Ovis aries: one gene and its partner. The protein of the gene in region 1 binds, or shares a complex with, the protein of each later gene. Links are inferred from orthologs where the notes say so. Each region holds a gene or a part of one and is shown in the gene's direction. Other genes may lie near its edges. The genes, in order: KAT6B and BRPF3.

What was found.
Region 2: KAT6B (region 1) and BRPF3 share a complex: the UniProt entries of both Homo sapiens proteins name them as parts of the MOZ/MORF complex. The link is inferred for Ovis aries from reciprocal best matches to the Homo sapiens genes KAT6B and BRPF3.

What each region holds. Positions count from the first base shown.
Region 1 is NC_056078.1:30,027,163-30,030,719, forward strand, and holds the end of KAT6B (histone acetyltransferase KAT6B), read left to right. Parts: coding exon 1-1,211; 3' UTR 1,212-2,823; downstream 2,824-3,557. UniProt on the Homo sapiens protein: Histone acetyltransferase which may be involved in both positive and negative regulation of transcription. Required for RUNX2-dependent transcriptional activation. May be involved in cerebral cortex development.
Region 2 is NC_056073.1:10,232,201-10,236,020, forward strand, and holds part of BRPF3 (bromodomain and PHD finger-containing protein 3), read left to right. Parts: intron 1-723; exon of another isoform or gene 724-744; 5' UTR 745-749; coding exon 750-2,200; intron 2,201-3,820. UniProt on the Homo sapiens protein: Scaffold subunit of various histone acetyltransferase (HAT) complexes, such as the MOZ/MORF and HBO1 complexes, which have a histone H3 acetyltransferase activity.

The sequences.
Region 1 (3,557 bases):
GCAGTATCGAGAGCACAACCGAGAACTACGAAAACCCCAGCAGCTATGATTCTACTATGGGCGGCAGCATTTGTGGAAATGGCTCTTCACAGAACAGCTGCTCCTACAGCAACCTCACCTCCAGCAGTCTGACCCAGAGCAGCTGTGCTGTGACCCAGCAGATGTCCAACATCAGCGGGAGCTGCAGCATGCTGCAGCAGACCAGCATCAGCTCCCCCCCGACCTGCAGCGTCAAGTCTCCTCAAGGCTGTGTGGTGGAGAGGCCGCCAAGCAGCAGCCAGCAGCTGGCGCAGTGCAGCATGGCTGCGAACTTCACACCGCCCATGCAGCTGGCCGAGATCCCCGAGACTGGCAATGCCAACCTTGGCTTATATGAACGGATGGGTCAGAGTGATTTTGGGGCTGGGCATTACCCACAGCCGTCAGCCACCTTCAGCCTTGCCAAACTACAGCAGTTAACTAATACACTTATTGATCATTCATTGCCTTACAGCCATTCCGCTGCTGTAACTTCCTATGCAAACAGTGCCTCTTTGTCCACACCATTAAGTAACACAGGGCTTGTTCAGCTTTCTCAGTCTCCACACTCCGTCCCTGGGGGACCCCAAGCACAAGCTACCATGACCCCACCCCCCAACCTGACTCCTCCTCCAATGAATCTGCCACCACCTCTGTTGCAACGGAACATGGCTGCGTCAAATATTGGCATCTCCCACAGCCAAAGACTGCAAACCCAGATTGCCAGCAAGGGCCACGTCTCCATGAGAACCAAATCGGCATCTCTGTCACCAGCCGCTGCCACCCATCAGTCGCAAATCTATGGGCGCTCCCAGACTGTAGCCATGCAGGGTCCTGCACGGACTTTAACGATGCAGAGGGGCATGAATATGAGTGTGAACCTGATGCCATCCCCAGCCTACAATGTCAACTCTGTGAACATGAACATGAACACTCTCAATGCCATGAACGGGTACAGCATGTCCCAGCCGATGATGAATAGTGGCTACCACAGCAACCATGGCTACATGAATCAGACGCCCCAGTACCCTATGCAGATGCAGATGGGCATGATGGGGACCCAGCCATACGCCCAGCAGCCAATGCAGACCCCGCCCCACAGTAACATGATGTACACGGCCCCCGGACACCATGGCTACATGAACACAGGCATGTCCAAACAGTCTCTCAATGGGTCCTACATGAGACGGTAGGCAACAGGGGCAGTCACAGAACCCCTGGGCATCTCTCTCGGATTGATCTGCACAAATACCTTCTAAGAGTACGATTTCAAAACCAGCAATTGGTGTGAATGCAAAAACATTTGTTGGCACCATTTATTATTAAAAAAAAAAAAAAAAAGCTGTATGCAGCAGAAAGCCTTATAAAGTTGTTTTTCTTTTTATCTTTTTTTTTTCCTTTTTCCTTTTTGGTACCTTTGTTTCTGTTACTTTTTTATATGAAATTCTCTGCAAAGGAAGGCCTCTCTTTGGACTACATATGGAGGCAGCCACTCGCTGTGACTGCTTCCATTAAATAATGTGGATATCAAGCCCCACCCCACCCCAAATTCTCTGTTTTAATACTGAACCTAGAGCTTTTTTTTTTCTTCCCTGTCCACTCCATGTAAATGCCTTTGCCATTTTCAGTTATTGTATATTTTGTTTGAGGTGACACTTCAGCATGCCGCTAATGTCTTTGTTAGTGACAGTGCATTTTGTAGTACTGTACAAGTGTTGTGCTAACAGTAAGCCATTTCTTAAGTTTTTTGCCTTGATTAGGGTGCCCTAACTTGAGGGTTTAAAAAAAAAAACTATATTTTTGTTAATTATAAAACTGTAAAGAGCTATAAAAGCTATTCCCATTTGGTTAGTCAAAAGGGTTTTATTGCTAAATGTTTGGTGTAAAGTTGAGACCCTTTTCCATTTTGGTGACAGATTTCTTTGGGGAAAAAAAGGCAGCTTTCTGTTTTATAAATGCAGACTTCTGTTTATTGAATGAAGCATATCTCAGTGTTTATCTGTCAGGTTTTGAAACATTTCATATATGTCCAAATACTTGGCAGGATTTAAAAAAATAGTGAATTTGGTGTAAAGTTGCTATTTTATGGAAATGCCTCTAACTTTACATTTTCATTCCATCTGTAGATTTTTCTATCTTTATAAAATATTGGAGTTATTTTTTAAGGAAAAATAGAGAAGTAGCTTGTGAATAGCTCAAACTAAGCTTACCAATCGCATGTAAAAAAAGCAAAAAAAAGTTATTTGTGTCTGTTTATATTGCTTCCTTTTTTGTAGCCTTTGTACCTGTACAGGGTGACTGTAAGGGCCAAGCAGGAGAGGCGTAATCCTTGTATAAAATAGGAGCCAGCGACACTCTTGTATTTATCTGTTCTCTTTTTAGTCAGTCACTTCAAAAAAAAAAAAAAACAAAAACAAACAAAAAAAGCTGTACATTTTAACATAAAATAAATTATGATGAGCCATTTTTAGCCTCTTGTGTCCTGTCATATTATGATTGATAGAGAATGACCAACTGAACTGTATATCATGTCACACCTCAGATCACATTCACATTTCGGGAAAATAAATTATTTAGTGTAAATCGGAGTTAAGAGATTTTCTGATTTGTTTTGACTTTGTGGGAGGGGTTGGCAATAAATAAGAGTAATATCTAATAAAACCATCACATATACCAAATACCTATTTAATAAATTAATTTATAATGGATTTTAATGCTTTTCATGAAAGTTTATTTTATGCTAGTGCATACCTTCTGTATGCCAATCATTGTCTTTAAAATAAAGTGAATTTGTTTTTTTCTTTTTGACTTTGATCTTCATTTGCAAAGGGATCCTGCCCAGATATCCAGCTGCCTCGTTTGTACAGTCTGTATAAAATCCCCTCAGGGCCTAGTCCATTGGTAGCAAACTTCATTTTTATAAACAGTAATACCAGGGGAAAAAAAAAAAAGCACCCAATTTGGACTTGAATGTTTGAAATATCATTTTCTTGAATAAGCATGCACGTTTTGCTCTGTCATGAATGAGTGATTGGATGTTATTTTTAGAGTCTAAAGTTTAGGGGGGGAAAAGTCATTGTTCACAAACATTATGGCATTCAGAGAAAGCCCTGTCTGACTGTTAAAACATTTGATGATTAAGTGACAAGCCTAGAAACGAACGCTTGACGGCACCCGCGTGGAAAGGACAGCGCACACAGCCCGGGGTCACGGGTCCCGATAGAGGGCTTTGCCTCGTGCACTCACTCACCCTTAATATTTTTCTCCCACAGTTATGAAGCAGTCTGGGCTTGGTGTCAAGATTTTATCTTTTGGTTCCTCCTCCCCCAAAACTGTATAGCAAGTGGGGGAACATCTGTAGTAGCTGGAGGGAGGGCTTCCAAGAAGACACTTCTGCAAAGGCTGTTGTCACCAAGGGGAGAAGAGAACGTTTAAGGTGCTTTTCTGGTAGGAAAGGAAACTTCTCCTCCTTCAGAGCAGGAATTGATGGTGTGCTGTTGTTGGAATCAGCTGCTGGCATCGGTTCTAGAGCTGCCGAG
Region 2 (3,820 bases), on another chromosome or scaffold:
GTCCCTTCAGTCAGACAGAGCTCCTCAAGGGTAGGGATAACGTATGTTTGGCTTCTCGTTTCATTCAGCTAACACTTGTTGGAGATACAACAGGAAACAAGACAAGCAAAAATCCTTCTCCTCATGGACCTTACATTCTAGTGCTGTACTGTGCTAAGTCACTTCAGTTGTGTCTGGCTCTTTGCGACCCAATGGGCTGTACCCTGTCAGGCTCCTCTGTCCACAGGATTCTCCAGCCAAGAATACTGGAGTGGGTTGCCATGTCCTTTAGGGGATCCCAGCCCAAGGATTGAACCTGCATCTCTTCTATCTTACATCTCCTGCATTGACAGGCAGGTTCTTTACCACCAGTTCCACCTGGAAAGCCCACATTCTAGTGGAAGGAAGAAAATATACATGGCAAATAAGTAAATTAAATAGCACAGCAAAAATTGGTGAGTGTAAGTAACAGTGAAAAACAAAGCAGGATGAAAGATGACTGATGAGGGAAAGAGATTTGCAGTTTTGGGTAGAATGGTCAGAGAGGGACTGACTGAGAAGCACTGTTTATGGAAAGGCTTGGAAGAGGTGAAGGAGCAAGCCATTATAAATGATGCCTGAAGGGTAGGGTGCTCAGGCTGAGGAAATAGCCAGTTTACCAGTGGCCACCTGATCAGAAGGAAAGGTGAATGAGTGCATGCGTGCCTAACCATCCAGCTCAGTCTCCTGGCCTTCTCTCCTTAGGTCTGTCTCATTGGTTCCCAGGTGCCATGAGGAAGCCTCGCCGGAAGTCGCGGCCGAATGCCGAGGGCCGGCGCTCCCCATCCCCCTATAGTCTGAAGTGCTCACCCACTCGGGAGACCCTGACGTATGCCCAGGCCCAGCGGATTGTGGAGGTGGACATCGATGGACGCCTGCATCGTATTAGCATCTATGATCCGCTCAAGATCATCACAGAGGATGAGTTGACTGCCCAGGATATCACCGAATGCAATAGTAACAAGGAAAACAGTGAGCAGCCTCAGTTCCCTGGCAAGTCCAAAAAACCCTCATCCAAGGGCAAAAAGAAGGAGTCCTGCTCCAAGCATGCATCTGGCTCTTCCTTCCACCTCCCGCAACCCAGCTTCCGCATGGTGGACTCAGGCAGTCAGCCAGAAGCACCCCCGCTGCCTGCTGCTTACTACCGCTACATTGAAAAGTCACCTGAAGATCTGGATGCAGAAGTCGAGTATGACATGGATGAGGAGGACCTCGCTTGGCTGGACTTGGTAAACGAGAAGCGGCGAGCAGATGGGTACAGTTTGGTGTCGGCAGACACCTTTGAGCTGCTGGTGGACCGGCTTGAGAAGGAATCGTACCTGGAAAGTCGCAGTAGTGGGGCCCAACAGTCACTCATTGATGAAGATGCTTTCTGCTGTGTGTGCCTGGATGATGAATGCCACAACAGCAACGTCATTCTCTTCTGTGACATCTGCAACCTGGCTGTCCACCAGGAGTGCTATGGTGTCCCCTACATCCCTGAGGGCCAGTGGCTATGCCGCTGCTGCCTACAGTCTCCCTCCCGGCCTGTGGATTGCGTCCTCTGCCCCAACAAGGGTGGCGCCTTCAAACAGACCAGTGATGGGCACTGGGCCCATGTGGTGTGTGCCATCTGGATCCCTGAAGTCTGCTTTGCTAACACCGTGTTCCTGGAGCCCATTGAGGGCATCGACAACATCCCACCTGCCCGCTGGAAACTAACCTGCTATATCTGCAAGCAGAAGGGGCTAGGTGCAGCCATCCAGTGCCATAAGGTGAACTGCTACACGGCCTTCCACGTGACGTGTGCACAGAGGGCCGGGCTCTTCATGAAGATTGAGCCTATGCGTGAGACCAGCCTCAATGGCACCATCTTCACAGTGCGCAAGACTGCCTACTGTGAGGCCCACTCACCGCCAGGTGCTGCCACTGCTAGGAGGAAGGGCGACTCTCCTGGAAGCCTGAGTGAGGCAGGGGACGAGGAAGGGCTGAAGGAGGCCTGTGAGGAGGAGGAAGAAAAGGAAGAGGTAGAAGAGGAGGAGGAAGGTGAAGGGCAGGGTGGGGTAGGTGGCCCCCTCAAGGGAGTGTCCAAGAAGAACAAGATGGCTTTGAAGCAAAGGATCAAGAAGGAGCCAGAGGAAGTGGGTCGAGACACGACCTCCACTGTCCCCATGGTCACTGTCCCACGGATACCCTCTTACAGGTGAGCCTGCCCAGGATGTCTCCCTGGGGACACATGGTTTCTTCTTGGGCTGGTGTTGGCCCTGAGCCAGACCTCCTTCCCTAATGTTGGTGAATTCCTGTTCTCTTCTGTGCTCTCAGATTTAGATTTCTCCTTTGGACCCTGGGCTCGCCCAGTCTGGTTTGTGGTTTTGATTGTGCCCTTCAAAGCAATGTATTTCCTTTGGTTCAAGGTGAGACACACACTTAAGTTGCTTAGAAACCCAGGCGACGGGATGTCTAAGGTAATATTTCAACAGGGCACCAGTGGCATTTTCGATAGGAGGTAATTCATTATTAGGACCATCCCATACATTTCTTGATGTTTAGCATCCCTGGTCTGTGTGAGTGCCATTCACATCTCCTCCCTAATTGCCTCATCTTTGTGACAACCTCAGATGCTCCCTACATACGTTTCTAGTAACCTTATGGGGATTGAACTACTTCCAATTGAGAACCTCTGTTTCAAAGGGTCAGTATGGGTATCTGCTGTCCAGAAAGCTCCATCCTGGGAATGATGGGGACTTTGCATAAGAGGGTTATTGTGTGGGAAAGATATGTTGTGTCTCCTCCTAAGAAACTTTTAGATGTAGAGGAAAGATCAGTTCTGCAGTATAACTAAGAAACTTTGGCTCCCACCAAGCCTGTTTTAAATAATCAGAGAGGTATCTGGAGCTGTTGGAGGGATGGGAGCTTGGCAGAGAAGCAAGAGACAGGGAAGATTTTCCATTGGAGGCTCATCTCATTGTTGATGTTCATTAAAAAGACTGCAGTGTTAGAGCAGGAAGGAGTCTCGGAGATTATTCATCTAACATAGTCCTTGCACCTTCTCCCACACCCCCAGATGAAGAAACTGCGGCCACGGGAGGTAAAGTTGTTCACTCCTTTATTCATTCAACGAGATGTTTATTGAGCACTTACTATATGCCAAGTCCTGTTCTAAGGGCTGGAAGGAACCAAGGGAAAGTGACAGACCCTGGACCACCAGCTGGGGCTCATGATGCCTTTAGGTTCTGTTCCTGTTGTCTGTCTGTCTCTCTTTGTGTAAGAGACAGGGAGAAAGGAGTACTGGTGGGCAGAGGAAAGTGAGTTGTTTGCGGGAAGCAGGCAGTCAGACTTGTCCATCTGGAAAGAAGACAAGAAGACAGAAGATCCAGAGGGAGAGGCTCTTGTGAACCATGATTGGAGTTAGATTTAGTCAATAGGAAATGGGCCCTCTAGTCACAGAGCTGTTCTAGGCTCCCCGCTTCTGTTGGATGAGTGGGTCCATGCTTAGTCCCCTGGTGGTTATGCCCTGGGGCTAGACTTTTTGGTTGTCAGGTCTGCTCTTGTAGGTGGTTTCTTGCAGGGTCCAGCAGGGTCCTGCTGACTAAGAACCAGAGAGACCTGCATTTGAACCTTGAACTTCTGTCACTACCAGTGTGATCTTTGGCAAGTCGCTTAACTTCTATTCAGCCTTAGTGTATTTATTTGTAAATGAGCCTACCTTAAAGGGTTATTGGGAGAAATCAGTAAGATAGTATAAGTAAAGCACTCAGCACAGTGCCTGGCAAATAGTAAGCGCTCAATAAATGGTGGCTGCTGCTGCTACTGCTATTTTATT